3 linked regions of the Rattus norvegicus genome follow. The protein of the gene in region 3 purifies or fractionates together with the protein of the main gene of each other region. This does not show direct contact. Links are inferred from orthologs where the notes say so. Each region holds a gene or a part of one and is shown on either strand. Other genes may lie near its edges. The genes, in order: Serpina1, Derl2 and Os9.

Region 1 (7,578 bases), on a different chromosome or scaffold from region 3:
TGAGCACATTGTGACAAGGGCTTTGAAGATGACCTTTGATGTCCAGACTTTTAAGACCATTCTGCCCATTCTGAACGGCCTTTAATTTCTCTGAACCAGTGGCCTGTTTGGTTGAACTCATAATCTCAAATGGTTATTTCACTGATAGTTCTAAATATCAGGGATGGATATTCAAGAGCACTCTCTTAGGTCACCAGGCCTCAGAATATATATAACATATATAAACTAAGTATAATAATTAAATTCTCCAGATGATGATGAAACCAAGGATTGGGCAGCACTTCAAGGAAGGGCCCATAATTCTATCTGCATAAGAAGACCCTCCAAGCTAATATTTGACTACACCCTGTCCAAGTGAATCCTGGCAGTCCTTAGAAAAACCTCAGCTTAGACTCTGCCTACATCCCTTTCCTCTTCCCCCAGCCTTGCACTGAGCTACCCACACACCCTGTGCTGCTCTACAGACACCCAGGGCATCAGGACATCACCATGGCTAGGTAACATCACCTGGCTAAGCTTCAGGGGGGCATCCTCTGTGATTCCAGAGAGATCAGCATCATTGTTGAAGACCCGGGTGATGCCCAGTGAGCTCAGGAGTGTCTTCAAGTTATAGGTTCCAGAGATGGACAGTTTGGGGAAGTAGAGAATGGCTGACCTGGTGGGGAGGTAAGAGTTACAGGAGTTTCATGGAACTTCTGGGTTCTGCTGAGATCCACCTAGTTGTGGAATTGTTTCTGGCTGGGTCTCACGTGGGACATGCTACTACCCCCAGCAGGACAGGAAAGCATCTTCATGTGCTTCCCCTCTACATGGTCCTCTTCTAGCCGAAGAGGAGTTGAAATCTATGAGATTTCAAAGTTCAAGCTCCTGGAAGCCCCTGAAATGCCCCCCCCAGAAGTCCTTCCGGCAGATTCAGAGTGTATACACAGGACCATGCTTCACTATCCCCTCATGTGTTTGGTCAGTCCCTCCTCTCAAGCAAGGGTTACCCCTTGGATCTGATTCTCAGGGGGGATAGGGTCAATGCAGCTGAGTGACATTCCCCTCATCTTCACAGGACTGAAGGCTAAGCTCCCAGTTTCCACAGGCAGTGAGAAGGGCCCAATGGGGTCTTACTGGCCCTCGGAATCTGTTACCCATTTTGGTTTGAGCCTTATCTGCTTCTCTGCATTTTTATGGGCATTGGACCTAAGCGGAGGTCTGGCTGGGAAGCAGGGACACAGCTTCTTCCCACATCATCCTTGCCAGGACTTCCTTTTAGCTTGTGGTTTCTCACAGGCAGCAGAGCCTGGACTCAGAGTGCACAGGTCCTCTGACCTATTGAGTATGCTCTAGGACCACTGCGTCCTGAAGACCTATCAGCCCCACTGAGGACTGACAGGAATAGAGCCTTGCCCTGCAAGCTTGCCCAGAGATCTCTATTTCTAGTCTACACGCTTCACTGTGACCTCGGGTTAGAGTCCACCCCCCCTGCAAGCACTTTCTGTTCTTTGGGACAGTCAGAGAAGGTCTCTGTCTGGGGAGTCACCTTGTTTGCCTGTTTAGCAGGAACCGGGAAATGAGATCCTTGGTGAGAGTTTGCTCCAGATGCTGCATCTTGCCATCATCGGGCAGGAGGAAGATGGCAGTGGCGTTGCCCAGGTAATCCATCATCAGCACCCAGCTGGACAGTGTGCTGCAATAGTGCATGTCAAACATGCCCAGGCGGTTCATCATGGGCACCTTCACCGTGGTGGACTTGTCTACGTGGAAGTCAGCATCCCTAGTGTGCTCAGGATTGAATGGCCTCTTCCACTTGCCTGCACAGGGGCGGGGGGGGGGGTGAGAGGAAACCTTAACCAGTGAGGTGGAGCCACAGGCCCTTGGCTTTTCATGTGCATGGGAGGGGGGTCACTACTAGCCTTCTAGGCTGCCCAAGAACCTTGGTGAGGGTAACTCAGGACTATGGGAGGACTCAGACTGCAGATTACAGAAGCTGAGAACTACTCATCCCCCTTGTGCCTAGAAAATATCTTCCATAGTTGTTACATACTTAGAAAAAGGTGAGTTGGGGTTATTAATGGAACGCTTGACAGTTCTATTTGCTAACTTCTTATCAGGAAGCACCTTAAGTCCCTTTCTACACCTAAGGGTTCAGTGCAGACACCTATCTGCTATATAAAACCACCATCATCAAGATTACTGTAGTGGGCAGGGGGACTCCTCAGGGAACCACCACTAAGAACCCATCAGAATGGGTTAGAGTCTCAGAGACACATCAACAAGGCCGCTAGAGTGGGAGAGGCTCTCAGGGACCTGTCACCAAGGTCATTAGAGTGGACACGGGTCTCAGGGACCTAGAATCAAGGCTGTCAGCAAGAGATCATCAGGAACCCTAATCCCACCTTCCTTTTGGATAGGAAGAGGTAAAGGGGTTGGGGAGGAATTGACACATGCCCTTGTCAGAGAAGTGCTGGGACTTGATCCATGCTAGCTTGATATTCTGCTCCACAGAACTCTGCTGGGAGTCAGGGAGTCATGAAGGCCAGAGCAGCTCCTGGTTTTGACTCCAAGACCTCACTCAGGTGATTTCTCTGGGGAGTCTTAACCTAAGTACTGCCAGGCTGGAGGCCACGCTTGGGATGATAGTTGATCGGGTGCTTATGTCCTGCACACTGGGTAACCTCACTAATTCTTTCATGCCCACACAGCAGTCAGCTAGCTTTGTTCTATGTAATATGGACAGCCACACCCCAAGCAGGTAAAATGTCTTGTCCAGTATCAAGACTAATAGACAGTAGTGGCCAGATTTAAGCCCATGTTTCCAGAGCTCATAATGGTATGCAACAGAAGGGTCGATCGAGTACGCTCCCTGCAACAGTATTCTCTTCAGACCATCACAACCAGGATGGTTGGTTCTGAAGCTGGGGAAGGTTTGCAAGTTCTATGACTCTCCTTTGTAGGGGAGCACTAGGACAAAAACGGCTCTGATCAATCCTTCAAACAAGTCAGGGGATTTGATTGAAGCCAATCTCTAAACTTAATTGGTGATTTGAAAGATGCCAGAGTTTACCCATCAGAGAGTAGGGAACGTGATAGGACAGTTCCATGGCCTGGAATGAGAGCTCAGAAACTGGTCCCTGAGACTATGTATGGGTGTCTCCATGGACACCAGCTCAAGCTGGCTATCCCATCTTACCTTTAAAGAAAATGTAATTCACCAGGGCAAAAACCGTGTCTTCGTCCAGCTGTTTCATCAAATCAACTATCTTTCCTTGGGTTCCCTTCTCTACATAATCATTAATTACTTTCTTAGCCTCTTCTGAGTCGGCAAAGTTGACAGAGAAGGCTTCTGAGTGGTAATTGTTCTTGACCTCTTCCAGAAACTTCTCCACCAGCTTCAGATTCTTGTTGACAAAGAGGCCATTGCCTGTGTTCAGCTGCAGCTCACTGTCTGGCCTGTTGAGAGTTTGGAGGAGGTGATGGAAGGCCTTGTGGATGTCAGCCTCAGGTATCTGTGTGAGGTTGAACTCCAGGCCCTCTAGAATCTGTTTGCGAGTGTCACCCTTGCTCCCCAGGGAGAGCATGGCGAAGGCTGTGGTGATGCTCATAGGGGAGAAGAAGATGTTGGATGTATTGGATTGATGGACCAGCTCCCGGTATAGGCTGAAGGCAAAGTCTGCCAGGTTTGAAGAAATCTTACGGTAGGTTGGACTCTGGTCCTGCTGGGAGGTATCGGTTTCCTGGGCATCCTCAGCCAGGAAGCTGGGGGCCAGGCAACACAGGCCTGCCAGAAGCAGGAGCCCCCGTGAGATGGAGGGTGCCATTTTCCTGCAAGACACAGAAAGAGATGCAAGGTCAGGGCTGTGGCAACTCCCATCTCCTACTATTTGACACAATATAGAAGTAACCATGCTCTGGGAACAGGCCCCATGCCCAGCACTGTTCTGAACTGCTATCTTTGAGGGGAAAAAAGGTATCAAAAAATGGAGACAGTTTTGTGGATAAAGCACTTGTTAGGAAGTGTGAGGATAGGAGTTTAGCTGTAATACAGACATAGTAGCTATTTGCAATCCCAGCCCAAGGGGTGGAGGTGGAGTATCCATGAGGAAAGCTGGTTGTCTTTGCTAGCCAGAACCTCAGAGAAGCTTTGTGAGAAGTTCAATGAGGTGGACAGTGGTTGAGGAAAACACCCAACATCAACTTGAGGCCTCTATACACACATGCACGTGTGTTTCCACATGCATGTGTGAAAGCAAAGTAAGATCAGATAGGATGCTCTCCATCTGCCCAATGCTGTCCTTAGTACTTACATGTGTGACCTCCTACGGTCCTGCAGGGAAGCTATTACTGCCCTTCAGTTTGCTGGGAAGGGAGATGTTGAGATATACATTCGAAGTTAGTGAGTGGCCACACAGCAGATCTATATTGCACTTATAGGTGGTCCCATTCCTCACCAGTATTCTCAACAGTTCCATTTCCACCAAAGCAGTGTTCAGATGATCTTGAGGCACAGGTCTCTGCCCCATTTTGTAAGGAAGAAGCCAAGGTACAGGGTAAGAAGTGGCCTTGTCAGTAATTACAAGAGGAACACTGTGGTCCAGACTAACAATCATTTGAAGCTGGAAAAAATGATGGGAACTCTCAAGAATCCACGTGGGGACCTCTGGTCCCCAGGGAGAACATATTGATGTTGTGGTGATCCTTACAGAAGAGGAGATGAATGTCGGTAGCCTGGGTACACAGAGAAGCCTAAGGTTGTGAAGAAATAACCAGGAGGGCTGCAGAGATGGCTTAGGAGGTAGGAACACTTGGTGCTCTAGAAGAGGATGTGCAGTTGATTCCAGGACTTCCAGTGGCAAGCTACAACCATCTGGAACTAGTTTCAGGGCATCTGGAGCCTTCCTCTGGCCTCCTCATGCACACAGGCACCCATTCTCCCCCCACAAATGCATAGAGAAGGAGGAGGAGAAGGAGGAGAAGGAGGAATGCAGGGGCTGTCCACACTCAGTCTCCACAAGGAACCTCAGTTCCTAGTGGCTTACCCTGAAAGAGGGACTGTGTGTGCTCTGCTCTGTAACCCTAAACCCAGACTGGGCTGGCCTCATCTCTGGCAGCCTATCTGCCACCTTGCCACTACTCCTATCTCAGTGCTGGAAGAGCAGAAATTAATGCCTCTGCTCTAACATGGGATATGTGTGTGGTGGAGTGATCTATCCATGACCGCCTCAAGTTCTAACCCAGGCTCTGTCACTCTCTGGCTGCGTGAGCCAGGAGAAATCATTTGATCCTTGTTTTGCCTTTCCTACAAGGTGAGACCAGGAGAACTCAGGGCACTAAGTCTCTGCATCAGACCTTCCATGGACAAGCTCTCAAAGGGCAGTCTTGGGGACGGAAGGGTGGCAGATGATGCAAACTCAAATGCTGGAAAGAGGAGCAGGGGAGGGCAATGTGTTATATGGCTGACGTGAGGCAAGGCTTGGATTGCACCAGAGAGGGCAAACTCTGCCTGGAGATGGCCAAAGTCAAGATCACACCCCCAGCCCCAGCCTCTCCAGCTCTACGGAAGTCTCTCTACTCTAACGTGCCCGCAAGCTACTAGTCTACAAGCTCATGCTCTCTTCATAGTTGAGGCCGCATGTATGATGACTGTTCAGGCCACCATACCACATAGTTAGCTATTAATTCAATAATGACAACACCATCCTTTTTATTTTATTCTTTTGATATAATCTCATGGGTCCCAGGCTAGCCTTAAACTCACTACCTAGCTGAGGATGGCCTTGAACACCTGACTTCTACTTCTACTTCTACTGCTAGAGTGCTGGGGTGACGGGTGTGTAGCACCATGACCTCTTTATGTAGCTCTGGGCTTCATGTGTGCTATGTTAACTCTCTACCAAGAGAGTCACACTCCCTAGACCCATAGCTAGAATTATCATCTTACTATAACGGAACCCTCAAGTTTGGGATCTGAAAACCCGAAGGGGGAAAGTTGAAGACGAGAAATATTGAATTTTGCCTGCCCTTGGCCTGCCAAAAGTATCTTTCCAACACCAGAGCACAATGAAGAACAGATGTGTCTCTAGCTGCACTTTCTGCCCTTTGGTGTAAATAATTTGGAGAGCTGAACACAGGTTGCGTAGTACACGTCGATGTTTTCTCAAACAAGTTGGTGTGTTAGAGTTGGCGATGACACTGAGTTTAGTTCTGTATATTTCCATTCCTGATGTTTTTGTTCCTTCTTGTTTGGATTTTGGCGAGCCCTGTGGAAATTCCCCACCTCCATCAAGAGGCTGGGCCTTCACAGGGTGGCGAGAAAACATACCAAGTGACCTCAGGCCAGAGGCTGACAATTCAAATCCTGATGTGACTGTCACTATTCACTAGGCACCCAACAGCATTTGGGAAACACAGCCCAGGCTGTGCAGCCTAGGTTATATGGAGTTCGTCTGGGGAGAGCTAAGAGGAAGATATGCCCTGTGCATGTTTGTGCAGGTGCTGGCACACGTATGTACATACGTGTAGAGGCCAGAGGTCTTCCTCAGGTGTTGTTCCTTAGGTGCCATCCAACTTCTTTTATAAAACAGTGTCTCATTGGCACTGAGGCTGACAATTCAGCTAGGCTAGCTGGTCAGCAAGGCAGAGATCTGCCTGCGTCCATCTCCCCAGGGCTGGGATTGATTGTAAAAGCATGCGTCCGTACATGGCTTGTTACTTGGATTCTAAAGAGCAAACACTGGTCCTCATACTTGTGTGGTAAGCATTGTACTGATTGAACTATTTCCTCATCCCAGACATTGGACTCAGTTCCAAGGACCTCTGTTTAGTGGGAGTGAGATGGCGCATTCTGTTTGGGAGCTGCTGAGCTTCAAGAAGGGAAGGCCAGCATGCGGAAGGAGAGAGGCCCTGCAAGGGTGATCACACTCTCTCACATCTTTTCCTTTCCTTACTACCTTTCTGATTTCCTCCTTTGATGGTGAAGGGTCTGAAGCCTGGAGAGACACCCTCCCACTATCCCCGACTGACACAATATGCATGGGTTTTAGACTTGAATGTCAGGACTGGGCCAAATAGTTGAAAAGAAACAACTTAAGTGGGGAGAGGTTTGTTTTGGTCGTGGTTTGAGGGGGATTATGGTACTTCATGGTGGAAAGGCATGTTGGTGGCAGCAGCTCAAAGTGGCTGCTGGCTCTCACCTCAGAGGGTGAGGAACCAGGGTAGGGAAGGCCAGAGCTCAGCTCTCTGTCTCTGTTTCATCTTGTCTGGGACTCTCACCCATGGGATGGAGCACCCACGTTTGGGGCAGGTTTACAATCTCAGGTAATCTAGTTTGGAAAAGGTCTTTAGTGTTTGGCTACTGCCTTAGGCATTTCTTAATCTGGTCACTTCCGTAATGGATGTGAACTGTCACAGGCAGTGACTCTGGCCTCAAGTGTTCAGTCAGATATATTTTTGCATTCCATCCTGTTCCTTCAAACCTCAGGGTCCTGAGCACTGCTTTCTCCCTGCTGACCCCCTATGACCTCCCGGTCCCTGAGCCAGGGAAGACAGATAACAGGAGAGGAAGAAGAAGCTTAAGAACTTGTAGTGTAGGGA
Region 2 (9,064 bases), on a different chromosome or scaffold from region 3:
TAAGAAAATATTAGGCATACACATATGAAGAAGATAAAATGTCACAAACCACTGAAACATATTTGGGGTTTATACAATCTGTAAACAGTCAAGCTGCATTTCTCTAAGAATGTCTGAAGGGTAATATGATTTTTTTTTACTCCCTATCAATCATTTTAGGCAATGTCAAAACTAGCACCATGTTTTCCAAAGCCTGACACTGGCTGGAATGCTAATTCAAATACTGCCATGAACACGGTTCCAATAACCCTTACATCCCTTCCAACTCAGTGTTGTCTTTCCCATGCTCAACTACTTGTTAATTTGCACCATATTTGGCTTGCAAATTTAGAAGAAATCCCTGCAAAGAAGCCTTGTGTGATAACTACTTCTAGGCTGGCAGGCTAAGCATCTCTATTTCCTAGTCAATAAAAACTATAATGAAAAACCTTTCATTAGAAACTTATCATTCTGATATTCTATGCAGGAAACACAAGAAGCCATTTTGGGCCGTAAGTCCCATCACCTCTAAAGGCTCTCTGCCTCCCCCAGCTGAGCAGGACTGTCTAGGAGGAATGTCTAGCTCAGCACACCCAATTACCATCTGACTCTTCAACTACCATGGTTCTTCCTGTCTGTAACCAAACCTAAACACGTCAAGCCAGCAGACATTCTGACATTGGCTTTTTAGCCTTACAATCAAAGTCCCCACTCTTAGAAACCCACTCCAAAACCTGGGAAAATCCTGTTGCATTGCCAAGGTTTCAGGCTTTTGGACTACTGTGCCAGCTGGTGCTGATGTTATTTTACAAATATGCCTAAAATAAATCACAATTTATGGACACTAATATCTTTTAACAGTTGGACCCTCCCATATGAACAAGGAGTTACAAACAGTTTCAAAACATTATGATGATCTGATTACAAACTACAGACCCAGAAGCCATAACTAAAATTTTATAAAAAATAAACAAGAGTAATAGTTTCAACTTACTAAGTTTTATATGTATACTATATCTATATTATATACATACTATGCGAGCTAAAGTTTTGATGTTGACTCCATTTAATAAAGGATACAGAAAAATCATGTTAAACAAAAAATTGAATCCAACTGGACCAAAAAATAAGAAATTGGTGATTAGCCTCCAGATCTGCAGAAGGGGTCAGGTGGGGGGAATCAAGAGAAAGACACATTAAATAAAATACACGACCAAGAAACATTTCTATACTGAGATAAAAACAACATGACTCTGAGGCTCCAAAGTCCTAGGTGGGGCACATTCAAATGGAGCACCCAATCCAATTCTGGGTTTGTTCCGTGCTACACAAGTTTGTGTGTGTGCACATGTGTGCGCATGTGTGCACATATGTGCGCGCAAGGGACTAATTAAGACTGTAAAATTTATATGGATAGAAAAAGAATTCAAAATCATGATTATCTCCTATTAAACAACACAAAAATCCACACGATGTCCCTGAGTAAAAGCTAGGGTAGTGTACAAAACAGAGTGCTTTTATATGTGTAGTCACCATAATCTAAATGAGGAGTTTATAGGTACTAAAAATTTCAGGGATTCAGTATGTAAAGCTGCCAAGAAAAGTTTCTGCGTTAGCCACACACAACATTCTGATAGAAAAATCCTAGGGTAAACGGCCAGGTTCTGGTTTGAAGTCAACTTCCTTACAAGACAGAATTCATGCTCTAAGAGACAAGGAAAGATGCAGGGCAGTCTCACCCACTCAGCATACAACTACTCACAAAGGGTTACATAATTTACTGTCATATGTGGGATAAGCAAGAAAGCTGGTGTGGCCATCCTCATTTGACAATTAAGGGATTTTAAAACTTATGGCTTGCCCAAGGACAAACAGATAGGTGGAGACTGTGAAAGCAAATCCAGAACTCCTAATCCCAAACTTAATGCAAGAATTTAACCTCGGCTAGGGATGGTTGCTCATGTCTATAATCCTAGCACTATGGAGTCCAGGCAGGAAGACCACAGAATTGTTAAGGTCAAGAGTTGTCCAGGCTACATAACAGACCCTGTCTTTAAAAAAGAAAAAAAGCACAGTGATGGACTCCAAGGAGGCTGAGGCAGGAGGATACCATGAGGGTCATGCCAGCCACAACTACAAGATAAACTATCTCAAAAAATAGACAAAACAAACACACACACACACACACACACACACACACACACACACACACACACACACACAAACCAAAAACAAAACAAAACAAAACAAAACCCAAAAACCAAAAAACAAACCAAAAAAACGAAGAACCTCGGCCATTAAGCCAAACAAACCAGAAGGAAGCAATCTTAGCAAAGGTCACAGACATCTCGACTTGGCAAAGTCAAGGTATCAGAGGACTGACTGCTTCATACACCCTTAAGCCCTTGGTCACTGGTAATTTACTTGTGATAATTAATACTGACAGATCTAGTCACTCAAGACAAACTCTGGGTTTGTCTGTGAGGGAGTTTCTAGATTCAGTCACCCAAGGTGGGAAGGACATTAATGAGCACCATTCCACAGTCTAGGGTCCTAGGACAACTAAGTAGGGGAAAGTGAATTGAGCACCCGTACTCCTCCGCAAGGGGACCAACTGCCTGAAGCTCTGGATGTCACAATTTCCCAACCACAATGGACTTTACCAACAAACTGTTAGCCAAAACAAACTCTTTCTTTCTTAGGTTGCTTTGTCAGGAATTCTGTCACAGCGGAGTGAAAAGGAGCCAGCACTCTATTCACATGCAAACAACTCAGAGTTTATAGCACTCTCACGCTAGTGAGGGCACTGTACAGGGAAGAAGCTGTCTCTGAGGGTAGATAAAAGCAGAGGTTTGGAAGGCAAGCTGGAGTTCTCTGGGTTCAAAGGCAGTGTGACACATCTGGGACAGGGAAAAGCATCAATAAGGACCATTGAGGTCTTGCCTCCATATCACCTAGAGTGTGAATGACCATCCTGCCATGGAAACACACTTCTCTTCAGCATTTTAATCACTGGAAAAAGACTTCCTCAAACTGTAAAACATACTTCTCTTTAGCATTTTAATCAATGGAAAACGACTTCTTCAAACTGTAATATAGAAAGTCAACATTCTGTTTTAGATAATGGTATAAAATTCGATAGTATAATCTGACTTCTAGAAGACAGACCAGTGATAAAAAACTGAGTTCATGAGCTGGACCTTGAGGAATAACAACAGTGTTAGGTGTGTCTGGGTGGTAAATGGACAAAATAAGGCTATCCTGTCAGACTCTCTCGGCAGCTAGCTCGATAGTCTATTCTCAAATCACATTATTATTACTGCTGTTGTTATTGTTGTTTGTGTGTTGAGACAATTCCTTGATATGTAGTTCAAGGTGGGCTCAGGTTCCTGACTACTGAGATCATAGCCACATTAGTTCTTAACTAGTTGTAGTCAAATATAGAATCTCAACACATCAAAAACACACTAAACAGAGGATAAATTCGAAATTCCCACCCTTAGCATTCTTCTTAACACAGTGCTTCATAGCCCAAGCCTATCTAGCACTTGCCATCCTCCTGCTTACTCTGCCTGTCCCTGGCTCCGCCTCTGGCAATTCTAATTTGGTATAGGATGAGTTTACAAATACCTAGCAGCTCTTAAATGACTCTGGAGTCCAACCAGGTTGTGGAATTCCCTTTTTACATCTCAACAAGACTTGTAATCAGAGATTCCCCCACTGGGTTATTTTTTGAGACTGTATTTGACAGGATTTACTACTTAGTAAACAATGGGAAAAAAAAAGATAGTGAAAATATTATATCATAGTTGCTATAGACCACTTACTTGAAAGTGCTTAAAAATTAATTCAGGATTGAAGTATAACTGAAAAGGTGTGATCAATTCCAACTGCTGAAATGGAAAAAAGAACTTCTTGAAGCAGATCAATCGCAAAACAAAATTCCAACATGAACAACAAAGAATGAGTAGCTCTAATAATTTCTGTCCCTTGGAATAAATTTCTGTCTTGCTTGTGACAGCTGGTAAGAGATTCTTTAGAATTTGCACAACCGTTTTGTATCAACACACGATGTAAGTTTTATGTTGCAATATTTGAGGATGCTACAAGGCAGGCGAGTGGGAATATTTTAGAGACAAGACAACAGCATCTTTTACAAATCTGTGCGTCACGTGGTCACCACCTCAAACAGCTGGGTGAGACAACTCGGGAATAAGAGATTTAAGACCCTGCTACCATTAGGACTAGGTACATGCGGCCAGTTATTTATATCCACAGGCCGTCTTTTGAAAGATGTTTCCAGACAATTCGAGATTTCTATATTCAATATAATAGTCTGTGAACCTAGCGGACCTAACTCCCACTAGTCACCTGGACATAGCTAGACCTCTCAGATACATTTTTGGGTGGGCGGCTCCCGCAGTTCTGATTCACTACAGGTCTGGACTTCATCTGTCTGAAACTGACCTGGCCCCTCAAGAAGGAGCACACCCTTCTCAGGTCACTGGCTTGGCACCCTTGGGAATATCCCAAACCCTAGAGTCAGCTCCGGATGTCTCCACCCACCCCTGGGACCAGACCCACTGGGCTTCTCTGCGGCCCAAACCCGTTTTCTGAAGACGCAGTCATAGCTAGCCTGGAAAAAAGAGGATGTGGCGCCACAGCTGCTCACCACGGCCGCAGTGGTGAGGACGCAGGCGGTAGTGTAGGCGCGGCTGACCGGCGGGATCTGCAGGTACTCCAGCCGGAGACTCTGGTACGCCATCTTTCCCACCGCGCCTGCCCCCCCTTCCCCTTCCGCCAGTATGCCAGGCGGCGGGGCGGACTCAAAACTGGCCTCCAGCCTACCTACTACTGTCCAATCAGCGCTGTGTACTCGGACACCCACCAATCGCTGGCGCCTTGGGGCCGCTCACCCACCAATCAAGAGTTGCGCCTCTGCGTCGGCCCATCCTTACTTCTCCGCCTACCAACGCAGAGAGAAAGTACCAGCTCCTTCCGCCAATCCCTGCCGGCCACAGCTAGCTTTCCCTCCTTGTCTCCTTCCTTTTGCCAATCGCAGTGCCCCTTTCGACCCACGGCTAGCCAATCAGGAGTGCGATCCATCCCGCCTTTGCGTTCGTTCGCAGAGGCAGGTCGCAGTTGATTCTGAGGAGCCGGTGTCGCCGCCTTATTCCAAGCAGCTCAGTGTAGTTTGAAGGAAGTGGCGGGAAGCCGGTGTGTGGCGGACTACATCACCCCCGGGATCGCTTCGGTAGGGGCTGTATGCTAGCTGAGGAGGGACGGAAAGGGCGGGACCGGAGGAGTGGCCTCGGGGCAGCGGAGTGTTCTTTAGGGAATTCCTCCGGTCCGGCCTGGCTGGGCACGGAGACCTAGAGTTCCCGGCATGCCCCGCGGCTGTGAGGTGGAACGGGAGCTGGAACTGCCGGAAGCGCTCCGGGTTCTGCGGTTTCTGGGCCTTGTCTGTGGCGGTGGTAGGCTCTGAAGTCCCCTACGTTCGTCGAGACGGTGTGGGAACTTTCCATGTTTATTTACAGCCGCAGGAATTCAAATCTAGCAGAGAAGAGGCGGTAGATGAATTAATAGCACTTGGGGGGGGGGAGCGAAGGAGGGTGTGGCTGCTTCTTCAGGGATGTGTATTCGAGCTGGCTCTTGAATCTGCCTCTAATGCATTGTGTTGGAGCAAAGGCTATCTTGATCGTGGCAGACATATTCAGTAAGTTATAAAGAAGCATTAAAATCGAGGGACTGTGACTGTCAAGACTGGTAAGAACCAAGTAAAAAGTGGGAGAGAATAACATTTAGAAGTAAGACTATAAGGCTGAACGTAGTGGCACCGGCCTGTGTCTCATAGCCACTCTGAAGGCTGAAGCCAGAGGATTTGTTGCATCCTGAAGTTCTAGGCCAGTGTGGACAACGTAGAGGAGAGTGGGAGCAAACACGGGAGAGGTCTTAGCAAATTCTTGTTAAAACTTCATCTTTATAACTATTGCCTCATCATAGCATTGGTAGTGTCTAACAGAGAAAAGCAGAATTTTTCTCAGAACTGGAAGTTTGGATGTAGGAGTTTGGTTATATATCATGGTGCATCAATCCAGGAATGTTGAGAACTTTGAGGGAGAGTTAGAGTGCACACTTAAGAGAATTACTGGGGGGCTGGGGATTTAGCTCAGTGGTAGAGCGCTTACCTAGGAAGCGCAAGGCCCTGGGTTCGGTCCCCAGCTCCGAAAAAAAGAACCAAAAAAAAAAAAGAGAATTACTGGGTGCAAGTTGTCAGTAGATATACCCATCATTTGGGTAATTTGTAACGGATGACCACCTAGCTATTATCTTTAGCTAAAATATAATGAAAATACCTTTTAGGAAAGCCATCTCAATATAAACAACGCATGTGAAGGTAGAGGAGGGGTGGAGGTGGTTTCAGTGTTCAAACAGTATGTGAAGCCAGATGGTTTTAGTATTTAAAATACGGTGTGGGACTGGGAATCTAGCACTAGAGTGCTTACCTAGTATGTAGAAAAGCCCTCGGCATACCTCTTAGCTCTATAGGAAAGAAAAACAAGTTTATTAACTACCAAATTCACAAAAGTTAGAGTGTTAGCAGATCCAAGAAGTTCTTTCTGGTCTATTCCAAATGATTGTAAACCAGCTTAGACGTTCTGAGGATGTTTTGGCAATGTTTAGTGACATTATATATGCAAATATGTAACAAGTACCTCAGAAGATATAGAAAGATCTCCATCATCATCAGCTGACATCGTCTCTTATGACTAGAAGCTCAATTAATACCTCTAAGGCTCCTAGCAATTGAAGTGAAAATCAAGAACTGTTTTGAGACCCTATTTTGAAATACAAAAGATGTCTGTCTTCCTGTACTAGTTCTACATATGCAAAATCAATTTTTCTAACCCATTAGTTATGAGCATAAAGAATATCCTGTAAACTCAGGCTTCTAACATAGGCCAAACAAGAGCAGATGCCACTAAGGTTGCATCCTTTGGAGGGATAACTAAATATCCACATCTCCCTACTCAGATGACTTTGTCATTGTGTTAGAGCAGTTGGGGAATGGCTTAGTCTCATTGCCAAGTTAGAGTGAAGACACCGACACAAAGTACACGTGCTCTACGTAAAAGAATTTGTAGCCTTGAGTAGCTGTTCTCTTACAACACAGTTTCTAAAAGGTGGTTATTGTGTGGGTGTAGTCATGACTCAACAGTAAAGAGCCCAAGCTGCTTCTTCCAGAGGACCTGAGTTTGCTTTCTAACACATGTTCAGTAGAACTCTGGCTCCAGTCCATCTGACACCCACTTCTGGCCTTCAGGGGCACCCATAAGCATGTGGTATATGCACATATAGGCTTATACACACATAAATAATAAAATGAAATATTTAAAAAAACTTACGGTTTAAAATTGAAAGAGCTTAAGTATTCTTAGATGACCCAGTGACTGAATAGAAAGTAGTAGACAAAAGGCAAAATTAAAAAGATGATGTCTGATAAGGGAACTGCCAAATAAGAATTTAAAAGGTTTATTCCAACTATAATGCAGACTCTTCTGACTTTAAGGTCATATCTTATGGCATGTTTTTCTGATTTTGTTCCCAACAAAGTCTCTTAAATATATCTCTAATTTATGAATCTGTGTGCCATGTCTGGCATTAAAGGATTATGCAAACAGGTATCATAAAACAGATTCACAAATGGATAAATTAGTAAATGGTAATTTAGAAATAAGAGTAGGAGATCACTGATTAACATTACTGTTACTATTTGAGAGCTCTTGCAAATGTAGTCTTAGGTGCTTTGAAGGTAGGAGAGTGAATTGCCATAGAATACAGTGCCTTGATGTGGACTGTATTAATCTTGTGGCTCGCCAGCAATTATATCCTTAGCTGCACCTGCAGAATCTTATAATGGAGTATCAAGGACCAAGTCAGAAAGAACCTCAGTAATCTGTTTCAGTGTCAGTCTGACTTTTACCTGGTTCCTAACTTTCTTTTTATTTTTTATGCATATGGGTTTTTTTCTCTTTATTTTTTCTTTGCCCGCATGTAAATATATTCACCACACATGTGCCTTGTTTCCTTGGTGGCCAGAAGACATTGGATTGTCTTCGACTGGAGGTAGAGACAGTCGTGAGCCACCATGTGAATGCTGGGAACTCAACTTGGGTCTTACACAGTAACAGTTAGAGCTCTCAACCACTGAGTCGTTTCTCCATCCCCACTATTGTTTCTTTGTTGTTGTTGTTGTTGTTGTTTAATTTTATTTTTGAAATGTATGTGGATGAGTGCTTTGTTTACATGTATGTATATGCACTATGTATGTGCCTGGTCTCCTAAAGAAGTTAGAACAGGACATTAGATCCCCTAGAACTACAGTTGTAGATAGTTATGACCCACCATGTGGGTGCTGGGAACTGAATCCAGGTCTTCTGCAAGAATAGGTGTTATTAACCTTTGAGCCATCTTAAGACATTTTAAATTTTAAATTTTAATTTATTTTTATTTTTTGTGTTTTGAGTGTTTGCCCACATGTATGTGTGCCATACTGTGTGCAGTGCCTGGAGTGGTCAAAAGAGGGTGCTAGATCCCCTGGAACTGGAATGATGGGTAGGAGCTGTAGGAGGGAGAGTAGTAGGATTGGGGAGTGTCCAGGAGACAGAAGAGTAGGGTCAGAGAAGACAGTTGGTATAGGAAGAGAGACGATTGAATGGGGGCTAGAGAAGGGAGGATTGAACAGAGTGAGAACAGGACACAGTTGAAAGTGAATCGGGTTAGCAGACTGAGGAGAGAAGACAGTGACAGGTGAGCCAGGAGAAGCTGAGCTGAGACAGAGAAGACAGAGACAGATAAAAAAAGAAGAACCCATGAAGAATCCACAAAGTAGCTAAAAAGGAAAAAAAAAAAAAGATTAAAAGCTACGATTATGAGATTTTATGTGGATTCTGGAAACCAAATCTGGGCCCTCTGCAAAGAGCAGCAAGTTGACTAACTGCTGAGCCATCCCTTCAGCTCTGCTCCTCCTCATCTTGATGTGTGCTCAAAAGTCTGACTTAGTTCCTCAATTATTTGGTTGGTG
Region 3 (7,870 bases):
GATCACTAGGCATCAGAGCTAATGGAGGTGAGACACTAGGGACTGAAGGGGCAGAAGGTTTCCCAACCATTTGCAGGCCCTGAGGTCCACAAGGTCCAGGCATTTGCTCATTTTTTTTTTCTTTTTTTTTTCGGAGCTGGGGACCGAACCTAGGGCATTGTGCTTGCTAGGCAAGCGCTCTACCACCAAGCTAAATCCCCAACCCTGCATTCACTCATTTTTATTGTTGCAGGGTCACCTGGTCATGGTGGCCTGGGCCATAGTACTGCAGCTTAGCGCATAGCCAGCCCTGCCTTTTGTGTGTAGAAGCTGTAAGCACAAGACCTTATAAAGGCACAGCAGGGTGGTACTGCGCTAGTGGCTAGAGAAGGTTGGGCCCCCACCTGCTATGGTCTACCCTGAGGAATCAGTTGGTGGTATGGACGTTGTCTTTGGGTAGGGTTGGTTCCAACTGTCATTGTCCTCTAAAGTTTTCATCTGTAGATGTGCCAGTGAACTGATGGGGTCTGGTCATAGCTCCAGACACAGATCTCATCTGGAGGCTGTTCTGCAGAGCCCCTGGCATGACCCAAGGAGGAGTGTTGTGGAGAGGGAAAGTCAGGAAGACCTGGCAGACCCCAACTGCCTATGAGCTGAGACCTTGATCCCCCCTTCATCATCTTCACCTTCCCTTAGAGCAGACGCTCACACCTTTCCTTAGCATCTTGGGGTGTTAGAGTATGGGGAGGAAACAAGGACCCTGAGCAGAACAGAGTCCCATTAGGGGATCTGCAGGCCAGTGAAAAAACGGTCAGAATGTCAGCAAACTACTGCCAAGTAGTTGGTTTCCTTTAATGGGTGGCATTAGCATTGTGGGGAATAAGATTTCAAGTCCTCTGGGCTGGGGCAGAAAAGGAGGGGTGGGTGGCCCTGGACGGGCACAGACAAGCTGCTGCTCCTTCTGAACCCACACAGCCCCTCGGCAGCCATGCCTCTCAGCTTGGATTTGCATCCCCAAACCTCCCCACCCCTTTCTGGATGCCATCTTCCCCCATCCCCAACACACACCTGCTGTTCTGCTCCCTTTGTTTGCCTTGGCATAGCTGAGGCTGACTGACCTTCGTGGAAATTTTGCCAAAAGTCAAAAGACTGGAAAAGGAGTGTCCTGTTGAAAGTTCAGGTTGATTCAATGAAGCCAGGTTTCTGTTTCTGACCATGCTGAGGCACCGGTGATAAATCTCCTGCAGCCTCTTCAGTCCAGGGGTGTCTCCTATAACTTGGCCTCAGCTTTTAGGGTCCTCTAGGACTTGCCTCCACATTTGTATCCCTTCAGAGCTCAGAGGATGCTTTGTAAGGTGACTGCTGTTCTGAGGAAGTCTGTGACACCTCATTACTGCCCCCCAGGAGGCCAGAGCTTGCTCAGCATTAGAGGAGGTCACTGGGTGTTGTTTGAACCCAGTGTTCTCTCTGCCTTGGCCACTCTCAAGCCCACTTAAGTTCCCAGCCAGCTGTAACACCTATCCCCTTAGGAGACTCACAGGGCTGTGGGAAGCAAGACTTGTTTACATTTCAAAACAATTTAAGCACAACATGAAATCGGCCCTCATCCACACTGAGCAGCAAGAGGGTTGGCCCCAGGAGTTTCTGAAATAATCTTTTCAGTCTTCTGGAGGTGGCAGGTCATGCCCTCTTCAGTCCCTTTCCTGTAGTGCACCCCTTTTGTCTCTAGCTGGGGACTCAAAAGGGAAACTTTGTCTTTACTGTCCTGAGGGCCCACTACTCTGGGAGAGGACACAGGCAGGAGGGACCCACAGCTGGCAATCGGGAAGAGTGGAACCCCAGGCCCACCTGTCTCTGGAGTGCTATGACAATGGCATGTGGGCAGCAGCCCTGTCCTGCCTGTAGGTGGAATCTTCCAGGGAATGGTAAATAACCCGAGGGATGGAGGGATTGACTGGCAAGAGGAATCTGGAGTATGCTGCCGGAAGGGAGATGCCCCATTGGGTGTGGGAGGGTCTCTGTGATCCACATGTTGGCTTTCAGGATGTAAGGAAGGAGAGGATTAGGGAAGATATGCTTCTGCCCAATTGAAGCAACTGGCTGGGTATAACTCAGCTGTTCAGGGCTCACCTCACGTGTGCAAGCCCCTGGGATAGGAACGGATGATGAGAGGAGGAACCAAAGGTCTCCAGTAGCGTTGCCACAGCTTTTAGGGTCCTCTGAGACTTGCCTCCAAATCCTTATCCTTTCAGAGGTTGGCTTGTAAAACGACTGCCAAGCAAAGACTGACACTCAGGATCTCCCCCAGGCCTTTGGAGGCCAGTGCCTGGTCAGCTTACCCAGGAAAGAACAGCATCTCTCTCCATACTGGAAGGCTTTGGTCGGCTGTCCTGGTCACCTCCTGTGTACCCCAGGCACACTGATACTTTTTGGGTAATGTGGCAAACAGGACCGGAGAACATGTTCCTTCCCCTGAGCTTTTCCTACCTCATTCGCCCTCCCAACAAAGCCTATGGGCTTGACAGTCCGGTCTTTTATTTAGAAACCTGATTGCTGAAGAACAGGGGTGGCGCCATCTCCAACCCTTTTCGCTGGGATTGTTTGTGAGGTGATAGTAAGGGCTCCAGTTCCCTCAGTGACAAGAGACAGTCAGCAGACAGGAAGTAGGGGCCCCAAGGGAGAGGCAACAGCTCCCTAAACCAAAGGGATCAAGGTAGGGTGGGGCAAGGTGGGGTTGGGAATCTGCTTTCTTGGGAGTCTGAAAAACTGCAGCCCTGCTGTTCCTGCCACTCCCACGCACAAGGTCTCATCAAGTCTCTGGGTAGAGTGGGGTTAAGTGCTAAGAAGGTGGGGGACAGGAAAAGCTAAAGGAGCAAAGGAGGGTATGTTTGGGGAGCGAAACCTATAGCCTGGTCGTGGCCTTAGGTGGCTCCCTGGGACTGCAACAGGTCTCCCTCGTGGGTCTTCACACACCCTCAGGCTGGGCCCCTGAAATCCAGTGCTGGGTTCCAATCTGCCCTTTGCCTCCAGGGCCCCAGGATGGGGTAAGGAGGCAGAGCTGGTCAGGACGTTGCAGTAATCCTTAAAGGGCCTAGCAAGGTGGTCTCAGAAGTCAAACTCATCCAGGTCCCCTGTATCCTCTCCACCCGGAGAGCCCCATACACGGCGGTAATTGCTCTCCAGCTCACTCTGTCGCTGGCGTTCTTTATTGGCCTCTTCTGCTCCCTGCACCTGGGAGGAAGGAGGGGTTGAGCCAAGGAAACTCCTGTTCTGTGGGATCTAGGGAGGTCCTGAGACCTCGGCGGGAGGCAGGGACTAGGGATGTGGCCTCCCAATGGACTCTCCCAATGGACTCCCCTGAGCAGCAGCTGAGGCTTAGCGTCACCTGGGACAGGAGGATGGGGTGCACAAACAGGTATGGCTGGCATAACCAGACCCTAATTTGAGCAGCACAGTGGTGTGTGCTGCGGCTCAGGATGTGGGTAGGATGTCTCACCAAGATATTGAAGAAAATCTCCTTAAGGTTTCTTGTGTCCTCATCAGTCAGCCAGCGTGTGTCCTCCTCCTTACCTTCAGCCCCGGGTCGCACAATTTTGATCTCAATCTTGCCTGGCAAGAGCAATATGGGTGGTGAGGAGGGGAAGCTGGGAGCTTTAGAGTCCCCTGCCCTCCGGGTGGGTCCCAAGGTGAGGTGTCCAGTCCACCTTGACCCAGCCCTGCCACTCCTGTGGCAAGCCCTTCCGACAGCTCTAAGCACTGCCCTTCAGGGCCCACCTTCCGCCGTGAGCCCCTCCCTCTCCAGCACTTCTGTCACCAGCCCCTCGATCTGTTTCAGCTGTGGGTTTTCCCGGTTCATCTCCAGGACAGTCAGGTCCTGATTGGGGCCTCCATGACGGAGCTTGGTGACTCGGACCCGGACTCTGTGCTCAGGCTCCTCCTCTTAGAGGGGAAGACACGGGGAGACACAAAGCAGAGCCATGGTGACTCCGGGGTGAAGGGCTGTGAGGTGGCCCCTCTCTAAGCCAAGGGCTGCTTTGAGTAGAAGCTCCACCTCTCATGCATGTGATCCAGGGTTCGAAAACACGCCCTTCCCCAGAGGCAGACCCCCACCCCCACCCCAGCCTTCCATCTTCTATAGGAGAACAGCTGTTTCCTAAAAGCCAGGCCAGGCCACCTGCACCTGCAGAAGTGTCACCTTTATGGAGCAGGTTGGAGAGCCATAGCTCTGTTTTCCACAGACTTAACAGCCTTTCGATGTTTACCAGAAAGGTGGATAGAAGGTTGGAAGCTGGAATAACTTCTCTCTGCTCCATTCCAGCAGAATCCCATGACATGAGTACAAGGAGATGGAAGAAGGGATCACACAAGTGTGCCCTGGCTGGTGGTGGCTGGTGCCAACAGGCCTGCCTATTCACACTGACAGCCAGGGACCTTCCTGCTGCAGAGACCCCCCCCCCCCCAATACCTGCCTGTTTGTCCATCTCCCACCATGTCCACTATGGAAACCCACAGACTGCCTGTCTCCTTTTCTGCAATCCCCACCCATGGCGAGGCCGGCATAGAGCTCCTTCTTCCTGATGAGCTTTTCAGCGTCCAGACTCAGCTCGTTTAGTCCCTGCTTATATGCCAGGCAGAGCACCAGGCAGTGAGCATGGAGCAAACCAGAGACCAGGCCTGCTCTTCCAGAAGGCTGGCTATGAGGTGTGTCTGCAGGGAGGACAGTGGGGGGAGGAGCTGACACTGCACAGTGCTCCCGAGGGAGGGAGAGGAAGCACAGGCTCTCACCTGTAGGGTGCGGTGATGGGGGAGGCTTTTGAGGGACAACTCTCCTTTTCTTGTATTTCTGGACAAGCTCTGGACTCTGGCTCTCCTGCAGCCTCTTGATGAGTTTGTCCAGAGTGGATGTCAGAGCCAATATTGCCTGCTCCCGCTCAGACTCCTTCCTCAGCCCTTCTGGGTCCAGTTCCTTCTCTGTCTGTGAAGCCCAATGAAGGTGGCAGTTAGGGGAAGAGAGATGGGGCATCCCCTTTAGACTAAGGGCAGCCACCATGCTGGGCGCTCCTGTCCTGTGCACTGTGGCAGTCGCAGGAGGGTGCTCACCTCCTGGATGATGTTTTCCAGCTCGCGCTCCATGCCAGCCTTAACCTCTGAGCGCAGGCGCTCTCGGTCCGAGGGCAGCAGCATCCCCTCCAACTCCTTCTCGAACTCTCCCAGGAGCTGCTGCTCATCCTCGTCCTCGTCCTCCTCCTCCTCGTCACCATCCTCTTCTTCCACGAGACCCCGGGGTTCACCACCCTTTCCCTTCGCCTCCGCTTCCCTCTGCGGGGCCTCTGTGGTATCATCTCCAGGCTGCTCCTGCCTTACGCTTGGCTTCCCCTGGGTGGGGAGTTGGGGAGGAGGAGTTCAGTTTGAAGGAGTCCTTCATAATACTGGGGGGGGGGGCAGGACATGCTAGTGGGGGCCACAGGAAGGGCAGAATGGGAGCTGGTGGCAGGACCAGGCTCTACTGGGGCCAGTTTGTCCCAGGTAAAGGTCTCTCTCCAAAGGAACACAATGGGGAGGTGGCTCCCACTGGCCCTGGGCAGGTCCGTACCTTTTCTGCACCTTTTAGCTCCTCGATCAATCGAATCAAATCTGCAGGACTCCGGATGAGTTTGACCTGCACATTATTCTGAAAATCTGAGATGAAAAAGAGAGTGGGTGTGGGCATTTTGCATTTTAAATCATCTCTTAATTCCTGAAGAGAGGCTTGGGGGGGCGAGGGGTGAGGATCACAGTCTGCCTCAGGAAGCCTGCAGAAGGCAACATGGTGGGCATGTGAGTAGCAAAGCACTGCTACCCCCCCCCCCCCAAAAAAAACCTTAGTTTTTATTTTTAGGACCATAGAGGAGATTCGGAGCCTAGGACTCCTTACTGGAGTCTGCTTTCAGCTTCTCAGTTCTGGGCCTCCTGCTGTGGAGAACAGATCCCTTTACCCTTCCCCATTCTATAGGTGGGCAAACTGACAAGACATGGCAGGGGAGTGCAGGTAAGTGCCCTTTGACCTCCTTAAGTGGTTCTGCTGATCAGAGAGAAGCTAAGGGTGAGTGGGCTTACTGGGGCCAGGCCGTTGGATGGCTTAGAGGTAAATCATCAGTGTGCGAGAGTCTGGGTTCAGGTCTTGGCCCCAGAAGACACAGGGAGGTAGGGAGGAATGGACCTGATGTCCCGGCTCCCAACCTCCCGAGTAGCTCAGCTCTCCCCATCTAAGAACTGAGGGAGACACAGGGCTGACTAACCAGTGGGAGGGGCTGGAGCTGGGTCTGCTGCAGCCTCATGGTTCAGGTCCTGTTCCTGATGAGGAGAAAGGTCAGACTCAGGTGTGAGGGCTTGTCTCTGCCCTCCATGCTCCTTTCATCCCTAGACAGACAGAGGTCACCTCGTAGACCTTGGCTTGAGGGACCCTAGCCATCCCAGGGCCTGAGTCCAGGCTCGTCAGGGACAGCGGAGAGGCCTGATCTCACCCCTGCCTGTGCTTCCTCTGTTCCTGTAGCCTGCTCCTCTGGCTCCTGAAGCATTTTCCAAAACTCTGATTCCTTATCTTCCTTGGTGGGGCTCACATCTGGGGTATGGAGAACAGAGGAGAATATGGAAAGGGGGCAGAGAAGAAGGCAGGATAAGAGGGGATACACTCCCTCTTATCCTGCCACCCACAATGTCAGCACCGGACAGGAAGACAGGGAGGAAGGTCGTGGTGGCCAGCATCACGACTGGCCAAGGCCTCATCCCACCTTCTTTCTTTGGGGGTGCTCCGGCAGCCTTGCTCCCACTCCACACTTGGTGGTCTGTGTCCTGAACTTCCTCTGTGACTTTCTCTTCATGCTGCTTTGACTCTACCAGGAAACCAGTGCACACCAGCCAGGGATGCGTCAGTGCCTGCGGTGCCCATAGCGCCCACCCACCTGCGTGTAGGTCTGTCCCCGCCTCCCTCGCTGTCTTGTGTACTCACCAGCTTGCCTCTGGAGGTAGGCCATGTACTCGTCAGGCTGCAGGGCTGGGTGACATAGAATAGCCTGTGGGGCAGCGCTGGCTGGTGGGCGGAGGAGAGGGTGTGGGCAGAGCCTCGATGTCCGAATGCTCAGTACGTAGGAGCAGGAGAAGGGTTCATCTACTCGATCGATGTAGTCCCCAGATATGCCCGCGCCCTCGTCACACAGGAACTGTGGCAAGGCAAGAAGGGAGACTCACTGGTAAGAACCACCAAACTACCTTTGGTTCTTGGAACAGCAGCTATCTTTTGTTAAGGAGTCCTTACGGCAGACACCAGGGGACAGCGTGCAGACGCAGAACCACGATTGTGCACATGACATGCTACACAGAGTCAGTTATCTGGTTGTCACACAGACCCAGCAAGGAAGGCAGCATGGCCCCAGCTCGGTCACCCAGGATGCAGAAACTTATCAAATAATGCAGTTTAGACCCTTTCTCAGGTGGCAAGAATGGAAGATAAATTAGGCGGCTTCACTTACATTGGCAATCTGCATCAGTTCCTTGTCCTGGGTAAACATGGTGTGTTGGGGCTGCTGAGGTGGCTCAGAGTAAAGCTGCTTGCCACCACGCCTAATGGCGTGACCTGGCTCTCCAGTGTCCCACATAGTGGCCGGAGGGAACCCAATTCTCAATTGTCTTCTGACACCCACATGTGTGCTCTCTACCCAGCAGCACACACTAAGACCAGAGAGACAGAGACACCAGTGTGGTCCCTAAGCAAGGACAACATGCACTCACGAAGTCACTCACAAAGTCTTCAAAGAACCTATAACCCCTTCACTCAGGAGGCCAACACCGGGATTGCTGTAAAGTCAAGACCAGCCTGGGCTACAGTTTGAGAAAACAAACTAATCAAACAAGT

Evidence for each region.
Region 1: the proteins of Os9 (region 3) and Serpina1 purify together in Homo sapiens (affinity purification with western blotting; 4 studies listed by BioGRID). This does not show direct contact. The link is inferred for Rattus norvegicus from reciprocal best matches to the Homo sapiens genes OS9 and SERPINA1.
Region 2: the proteins of Os9 (region 3) and Derl2 purify together in Homo sapiens (affinity purification with western blotting; 3 studies listed by BioGRID, with this or other methods). This does not show direct contact. The link is inferred for Rattus norvegicus from reciprocal best matches to the Homo sapiens genes OS9 and DERL2.

Annotation. Positions count from the first base shown.
Region 1 is NC_086024.1:128,631,701-128,639,278, forward strand, and holds part of Serpina1 (alpha-1-antiproteinase precursor), read right to left. Parts: intron 3,811-7,578; 5' UTR 3,807-3,810; coding exon 3,179-3,806; intron 1,800-3,178; coding exon 1,529-1,799; intron 656-1,528; coding exon 508-655; intron 1-507.
Region 2 is NC_086028.1:56,233,229-56,242,292, forward strand, and holds the start of Derl2 (derlin-2), read right to left. Parts: upstream 4,766-9,064; 5' UTR 4,745-4,765; coding exon 4,652-4,744; intron 3,873-4,651; coding exon 3,807-3,872; intron 1,134-3,806; coding exon 1,060-1,133; intron 1-1,059.
Region 3 is NC_086025.1:64,800,020-64,807,889, forward strand, and holds the end of Os9 (protein OS-9 precursor), read right to left. Parts: intron 7,179-7,870; coding exon 6,968-7,178; intron 6,852-6,967; coding exon 6,750-6,851; intron 6,581-6,749; coding exon 6,483-6,580; intron 6,313-6,482; coding exon 6,258-6,312; intron 5,659-6,257; coding exon 5,573-5,658; intron 5,356-5,572; coding exon 5,080-5,355; intron 4,955-5,079; coding exon 4,765-4,954; intron 3,919-4,764; coding exon 3,754-3,918; intron 3,589-3,753; coding exon 3,476-3,588; intron 3,211-3,475; coding exon 3,085-3,210; 3' UTR 2,498-3,084; downstream 1-2,497. UniProt on the Homo sapiens protein: Lectin component of the HRD1 complex, which functions in endoplasmic reticulum (ER) quality control and ER-associated degradation (ERAD).